Linked DNA regions of Ovis aries. The protein of the gene in region 1 binds, or shares a complex with, the protein of each later gene. Links are inferred from orthologs where the notes say so. Each region holds a gene or a part of one and is shown in the gene's direction. Other genes may lie near its edges.

Region 1 (4,327 bases):
CTCTCCTTATTTCAGGTGTCAGCACCTACCTGAGAGCCCCAGGACAAGACTTCACCTGGGAGATTGTTAGAAATTCAGAATTTCCCCAGGAAGCTTTACAGCATTCTAACAGAGATTGACTGGGTCACGGGTGTTTGAGAAGGGCTGCCTGGGGCTCCGTTTACTAAACTTTCTTGGGGTTTCTGCCTTAGGAATTCCCTAAGGATGTGATTACAATCTCCCTGTCTAATTCTTATGACAAAGTAAATTTGGAATCTAGGGGTTGGCCTTCTCCTAAGGATCGGAAAAAAACCAATTTTCACTCCAGGATGGAGCTTTGGGGCATTTATCTTCTGGCTCTTTTTGTTGAATGGAACTTACGGCATTTGGGAGTGGACCACCTTTCCAACGTCTCCCCTTAAGAGAAAAATATTTAATTCCAAGAGTTGGAAAGGAAATAAAACAAATTCTCTTCTTGTTGCTAACATCCAGTACCTGAGATCAGAACCAGTAAAATGGGGATTAGAGGGCCAAGGTCCGGGATTAGAAGGGATGAGCCCCAGCGGGAAGTGCCCACAGGTTGGTGACCTGGGGGGGTCCCTTTGACACCCTTGGGCTGTGGCACCCCATCGACTGACTGCGCGGGTGGGCCCGCGCCCCGCAGCGTTGAAACCAAAGTAGGGAGAGGTTGGATCGCGCGCTCAGCATTTTCCCAACTGCCGAATCCCAGGAGCCTGCCAAGCTCCCAGCTCTCTAGGGATGCACCCCCGACCCCCTACGCCAGCCAGAGCCCTCCCGCTCCCAGCCCCTAGACAAGGGCGCAGTTTACCAGCGGGAACCGCCTCTGGCCCACCGGCAGGAGGATGGCAGCATTTTTTTTTTCTAATGCCATCAAATTCAATATTTACAAGATCAATCCCATGCTTGGTGCTAAAATGACTGGCCACCCAAGAAAGAGTTTACTTCTTATATAAAGAAAAACCCAAGCTTGTGCCTTACTTTTAAAAAGAGAGAGAGAGAGAATAACAAATACAGTTTTAAAATTACCCCCCCAAATCAATTACTGCATGCGCCCCCTTTCCCTCTTGTCGGGGAACAAATACAAGCCAACTTTGCCGGGACCCATGTGCGGGTCCTAGCAGCCCCCGCAGCTGTGGCCTTGTAACTTTAAACCTGGCCTGAGGTCATCGTTTTCGCGCTGGCCAAACACAGGCAGGGGGCGGTCCTAGCGAACCCGAGACTGGGACCACCTTAGCGCGCGGACTCTCCCCGCCCTCCTCCGGAGAGATAAATGCTGACTCCGACCCGAAAGTTACCAACTGCAAAGTTTGCTTCTTCTGCGGCTGTTGCGAGCGAAGGAACTTGGGGACCCCTCCCGTCCTGGGACTTTTGCTCCCCGCTTTCCAGGCCCCACTCTCGCGCTTCATCAAGGGAAGGCCCCTGGCTACGGAGCTTTTTCATCTTTCCCCAGCCCAGAAACTAGCTGCTCGGCTCCCCACCGCAAAGAACAAGTCAGCTAAGAAAAATGTGGAAGGTGCCAGTTCTGTTCTTCATTTTGGGAAGCGCATCGTTCTGGGTCCTGGCAGAAGGAGGTAAGGCCAGCGGGCGGAGCTCCCCGAGCAGCTAGCTGGTGGGGACGAGCGAGCCGGGACTTGCGGGTTGCCGGGCCCTGGAATGTGAGGTTGCCCGGGGGAGCAGTGTGCGCGCCAGAGTCTGGAGGCCCCGGGAGGAGAGACGGCGGCTTAGCCCGGGACAGGTCCCAGGCAAAGAGCTGAGCGGGGTGCCAGGAAAAGACCCCGAATCCACAGGTAGCAGGTGGGGAGCAGAGGGTCCCTTGAGGGCGACCCACCTCCTGCCAACCCTTGCTGGCTCCGAGAGACAGATAGAAGGCTAGCAGCCAGGCGCCGTCCACCGGCGGCGCTGGGATTTTCTCCAGGGCTGTGTATTGGAGACATGCTCATGGCCTCAGAAGTACTGGCTCCATAGAATTGTGAGGGTCGGGGATGAGAGTGGGATATCCCTGTGCAGCGACGGCCTCCCTCTGGGGGCTGCCAGTCTGTAAGACAGCACGTTGGACACACTCAGGGCCGGATCAGTGGGGATTCGTTATCCTCTGTGGAGAGGATAGTGTGTGGGGCTAAGGACTGAACTGGAGGGTCCTGAGTGCACCAGTTTAATTTCCTTTGGGGCCACGTGTGGAACTTGGCCAACTGTGTCAATGACCGCGTGTTGGTGACTCCTTAGACCTTCACTTCTCTAGATCTGAGAATGAGAACACTGCTTGCCCATCACTCTCATTATCTTCTCCTTCTTCCCTCTTATTACCTCTCTTCCTCTTGCCCCTTGCTGCTGTGTTGGTAACCTCCAGTCACATTGGTCAGTGTTTTCTTTTTCTTGGGTCTTTATTTTGATCTGTTTCCACTGTAGAATATAAGCTCCTGTGGACACAGCTGTGTCTTCACCTTGATCTCCAGGGTCAAACAATACCCGGCCCTTAGTAGTTGCTCACTGAATATTAGTTGAAGTCATTGTAAGCTAACTAGGGATCTTTGGAGTTGAAGATTGAGGAAATGAAACTCTTTTACATTTTCCGAATTGAGGATGGAGGTAGGCCTGGAGCCAGAGGAATCCTGCTTGAAGGGAGGGGCTTGAAGGAGGCCTCTGCACAAAGACAATAATACCCAGCTCCAGGCCAGTGAGTGGTTCAGGGTGTGTTTCCCTTTGCGGCGCTGTCTGCTTCGTGGAGATTGAGGTGCTCTCTGTGCTGTGCGTGTGTGTGCAGTTGTGTCCAACTGTTTTGTCAGCCCATGGACTGTAAGCCAGCAGGCTCCTCTGTCCGTGGGATTTCCTAGGCAAGAATACTGGAGCAGGTTGCCATTTCCTCCTCAGGGGATCTTCCGGACTCAGGGATTGAACCCAAGTCTCCTGTATCTCTTGCATTGGCAGGCGGGTTCTTTACCCCTGTGCCATCTGGGTGGGAAGCCCTCTTTTTGCTGGGAGGTGAGCTATTCATGGCAGTCCTATCTTTGGAACTTCTCTCCAGAGCCACATACATGGCTCTGCATTTCAGTTACATTTCCTTTTTGGCCAGACTGTGCAAATGATACCATTTTGTGCTCAGCAGGGCAAGATGTGGGAGGCCCCCCAAACTGAGCCTTGTCCCAGCTCTGCTCAGGAAAGAGGGCCACTGGGTGGCATCCTCTCCCCTCCCCCAGCCTCCCCCTCTCCCCTGCAACCCTCTTGCCCCAGGGAGAGTTTAGCTGTAATTATCTTTAAGCCAATTCTGAATATCAAAGGTACTCCTAAAAAGAAGTAATAATAATTAAAAATAATAGTTGTGGCTGAAAAACCAGCCACTTCTAGTAATAGCAACTCGTTTGGGAAAGACTGAAGCACCCTGGCCCTGTCCCCCGGGGCTGTGTGTCAATGCAGAGTTACTAGGCTGCTGGTGAAGAGTTGAGGCCCAGGAGGGGTTTTGTCTGAGGATAATGAGCGAGGCAACTTGAATATGGATGAATAACTTCTTTGAGCTGAGCCACTGTGGGCTCTTGTCGGGGAGCTAAACTAGGGGTAATTATGGTGATGAATTTTATTATCCTTCTCTTAGGAGTCTACTCCCTACTGGGCTTCCCTCTTCTAAAGTTATAATCTGGTTCAGTTGTACAATCTCGTCCTCTGGGTTGAGATGTCCTCTGGGTCTCTTGAGATGTTAGTGGATTTAAAGGAGCTCAGTGGTCCACACATCTGGCATATTCCTCCACTGTCAGGCCCCACCTTCACTCTGAACTTTCATCTAAGACACGTACACAGGCCACTCCATGAGATCGTTTATTTCGTGAAATTCTGCAGGCTGCTGCTTCCTGAAAACCCGCATGTGCTTTTTCCCGGACCAGTCCACCCAGGATTAATCATGCTATGAACAAATTTCCCTGTGCTTTCCCCAAAACTCTTGCCAGTTTCGGAGGCTTGGAGTTGCTAAGAGTTTTGTTGCACTTAAGGTATCTCAGGTCTGTTAGAGCCTTCTCGAGGGAGGCTCTGATGACACTGACATGTGAGATCCAAGATAGCATTTAATATAGAAAAGCACATTTCTAAAAAGTATCCTCGTGTGAGAAGGCTACACTGGGACATGGCAAGAGGGAGGAACCCAGGCTGATCAGAGGTAGGCGATGGCCTGCCCCCCCCCTTCCTCTGGCCTCTGAAATGAGTAACCAGGGAGTAAGTATATACCGAGAATTACAAGGACCCCCAACCTTGGCATGAAGGTGGATGGTGTGACCGAGCGGGAGGGACACCACCTCTCTCCCATGCCTATCTCCCACCACATGCCAGGAATGTCACGGTTCCC
Region 2 (3,814 bases), on another chromosome or scaffold:
TCAAGTCAGACAAAATAAGAGAGTGCCTTAAAATCTCAATTCTATTACAAGAAGGTTAATTAGAGACTAAACATGTCTTCTCAAGTCTTATTGCTATAGGCAAATATCATGTTGAAGATGTACAATTAAAAGAAGTAATGTAATTTTGGAGGAATAAAAAATAGTTGAATTTTGGGCAGAACTTCAGGTAGAATCTGTCAGTTCTATAGTGAAGTATATATTGCGGATGTATTTTAAAGAAAAAAAAGTTAATAGACACATGACAAGTATCTCACATTTAAGAAATAAGTGACTCTCATGAAATCTCTCTCATGGAATGCCGTCTTGTGCTTCATGTTCCTGCCAAGATGCTCAAGCCATTTTTATTTGCCAAGAGCATGTTCTCATCTATTTTTTCCTGGGAGGTATGCGAGCACGTGAACATTTGACTTTCTTCTAATTTTGCTACCCATAGATTGATTGATTGATTGATCTATCCATTAATTCAACACGTTCCAGGACTTGAACCTGTGTGTTAATAAAACCTACAAAAATTCGTAGCTTCATGGAACTTTATTCCAGTTGGAGCAACAGGCAATGAACAAAATAAATAAGTATTACTGCATTTAGTCACTAAGTCATGTCCGACTCTTTGAGACCCCATGGACTGTCGCCTGCCAGGCTCCTGTCTATGGGATTTCCCAGGCAAGAATACTAGATGGGTTGCTGTTTCCTTCTCCGGGGGATCTTCCCAACCCAGGGATCAAACCCCTGTCTCCTGCATTGCTGGTGGATTGTTTACCACTGTGCCACCAGGGAAACCCATATAGTACAGTAAATAGAGATAATTTCAAAGTGAAAAATTGTAGATGTATGTTATTTGTAAATCCTTTTGAGAAAGACATCTCTTTTATCCAGTCAACTAAAAAAAATTGATATTTCTATATGAAGATTTTGTAGACAAGCTAAGCAATGAAACCAAAGCAAGCAGAGCTTAATTCTAGGGAATATAAAATTTCATCAACAATGTATTTTTCATTTTCCTTCTCATATGTGGTACTTTATTTGGGATTCTAACCTTCAATTGATGGAACATAAACATATAGGATTATTAGAATATTATCTATCTTGTTTACAGTTTTTCCCTATCCTACAAGTATTTTTATGCTAAAACAAGTAAACTTGGTATAATTCTAAATATCAGATATAATCAGTTAGCATTAATATAGACATATAATCCATTGTTTTGTCCAGAGTCTTATCATGAAGTTTTTCCTTTATACCATTACACGAACTGTAGAAACACTCTGACCGTTATAATTATTTGTGTTTGCAATAGCAATATCTCAATAGCAGGACTGGATTAATTCGTTGGATTGGATTGTCCCGCCAGAAATCCAGTGACGTCTGGAGGTGGGAAGATGGCTCAGTTCCTTCCGAAACTGTGTAAGTCATTGGACACTCAGAACACAAGGCACAACTAGGAATTTTTATTTCTGAGATCCTCTCTGCTCTTGAGTACAAGTTACTTAAAAGCTGGGAAGTGGCTCTGTGTTATACTTGGTGTTACAAAGGTGATGACTGAGTTACTTACTCCCTAATCCTAACAAGAGAGTGCTTGCAATTAATTAGATTCTATTTTCCGACTCTCCCATTCTCTGCTTTTCATCTAAGTCGTAATCCACCCCATTCCTGATACTTTTTTTCCCACTTGTTTCTACCCTTAACTTTACCATTGAGCATTTTCCATGTGTGTTTGGTTTGGTTTTGGTTTTTTGTTTGTTTGTTTGTTTGTTGTTTGTTTGTTTGTTTTTGTAGTGTGATCTGATTCTCTTCACATATTTTGAGAACAAAATTTTCATCCTTATAGTTTATAGTTGGAACGTCTTGAGTCTTTTTTTGACTTTTCAGTATCATTTTCCCTTGTCTTCTACCTTAGGGGGTTTCCCTGATAGCTCAGTTCGTAGTGAATCCACCTGCAATGCAGGAGACCCTGGTTTGATTCCTGACTTGGGAAGATCCTCTGGAGAAGGGATAGGCTACCCGCTCCAGTATTCTTGGGCTTCCCTTGTGACTCAGCTGGTGAAGAATCCACCTGCAGTGAGGGAAACCTGGGTTCAGTCCTTGGGTTGGGAAGATCCTCTGAAGAAGGGAAAGGCTACCCACTCCAGTATTCTGGCCCTAGAGATTCCATGGACTATACAGTCCATGGGGTCTCAAAGAGCCGGACATGACTGAACGACTTTTACTTTCTACCTCAGAGGTCTCCAAGAATCAGGCACATTATCAATTACAAGAGGATTCTAAAGTCTATGTCAAAAGGCTCTAACCTTCTACAGACAATCCAGGCAAAAGGATCAATTACAATACAATTACTTTACAACATTGTAAAGTAATTAACCTCCAATGAAAATAAATAAATTTATATCTGAAAAAAATAATTTTCTAATCTCCAGTCACCTTTGTTCACATTGTGCAATGTCTCTCCATTTAAAATGTAAATTGACGACCCAAACTTGCATAATTAGATCTTACTTAATTTTTAATTAATTCATTCAACAGATACTTATTAAATTTTTATTATGGACAGAACTCAAGAGTATTAGGAGTACAAGCAAGCTTCTTCATAGATCTGGACTTTACATTTATTGCTTGCTGACTTTTCACAATAGTTCAGGCACACTGGTGACCCCTCTGTTCTTTCAAAAAAATTAAACATGTTTTGTGGTCTTAGGGTTTTGTACCTGCTGTTTCCTTCTAGAATCCCCTCCTCCGTGGCAGGCTCCCTCTTGTCACTCAAGTCTGTTTAAACATCATTTTCTCAATGAGACCATCTTTAATTACCAAACTAAACTAGCCTCCCTCCACCGCATCCACTCAAGTCTATCACATCACACTGTTCCATTATTACTTTTACCAGTCTCTGAGATTTTCTTTTTATTTGTTGACTCCTTATCAACATTCCCTCACTACAGTGTAAGTTCCCAGTAGAAAAGACCTTATGTTTTGTTTATCCCTCTATTAGCAGCATATGAACAAGTTTGGCATGTAGCAGGTATCCCATGCTCGTGCTTGTGCTTGTACTAACTCAGTCGTGTCCGACTCTTTGCGACCTTATGGACTGTAGCCCACCAGGCTCCTCTGTCCTTGGGATTCCCCAGGCAAGAATACTGGATTGGGTTGCCATTTCTTCCTGCTTGGGATCTTCCTGACCCAGGGATGGAACCTGAGTCTCCTGAGTCTTCTGCATTGGCAGGGGGGATTCTTTACCACTGAGCCACCTAGGTATCCCACAGATATTGGCAAATGAATTAATAAATATCCATTCTTTGTCCTCTTGTTATAGCAGTGTAGCAGGAAATATAGGCAAGTGAACAAGCAATTATAATGCAGTCTTATATCTGTTACCCTGTAACATAAATCCTCATTTCAAAAATAACTAATCGACTTACTTTTCCTTGAGCTCATTTCCACCCTGTGTAGGTACTTGTCCGATAGGGCTTCTCTCAATCTAAATTCTACCCTTCTTTCAAAACAGAACTAAAGCATGATCTTCCATGAAAAGACGAGAAAGTAAAGCCTTTTCTCATCATTTCAGATCCCCATCCATCTTTTCCTCTGGACTCTTATTGTACCTACTGTTCACTTCTACTTAATCTTAAGATATATTAAATTGCCATTGTGTTATTCACATGTGCACACTTTGTACTCCAAAGCAGGCTGGAAGTTCCTCAAAGATCTGAATGTTGCTTTTTATTTTTTTCCCTCATACTTCTTATCTTCACTTTGTGCAACAGACTACTTCACACAGAGTTTGACTGAGTGTTAGTCGCTC

The links.
Region 2: the proteins of PDPN (region 1) and CLEC1B are in contact, whole or in part, in a crystal structure (PDB 3WSR), measured with the Homo sapiens proteins. The link is inferred for Ovis aries from reciprocal best matches to the Homo sapiens genes PDPN and CLEC1B. Residues at the interface, in NP_006465.4 of Homo sapiens: Ala46, Glu47, Asp48, Asp49, Val50; in NP_001380271.1 of Homo sapiens: Arg107, Phe116, Arg118, Arg152, Thr153, His154, Leu155, Arg157.

The regions. Positions count from the first base shown.
Region 1 is NC_056065.1:53,312,486-53,316,812, reverse strand, and holds the start of PDPN (podoplanin), read left to right. Parts: upstream 1-1,296; 5' UTR 1,297-1,504; coding exon 1,505-1,571; intron 1,572-4,327. UniProt on the Homo sapiens protein: Mediates effects on cell migration and adhesion through its different partners.
Region 2 is NC_056056.1:205,424,012-205,427,825, reverse strand, and holds part of CLEC1B (C-type lectin domain family 1 member B), read left to right. Parts: intron 1-1,318; coding exon 1,319-1,425; intron 1,426-3,814. UniProt on the Homo sapiens protein: C-type lectin-like receptor that functions as a platelet receptor for the lymphatic endothelial marker, PDPN.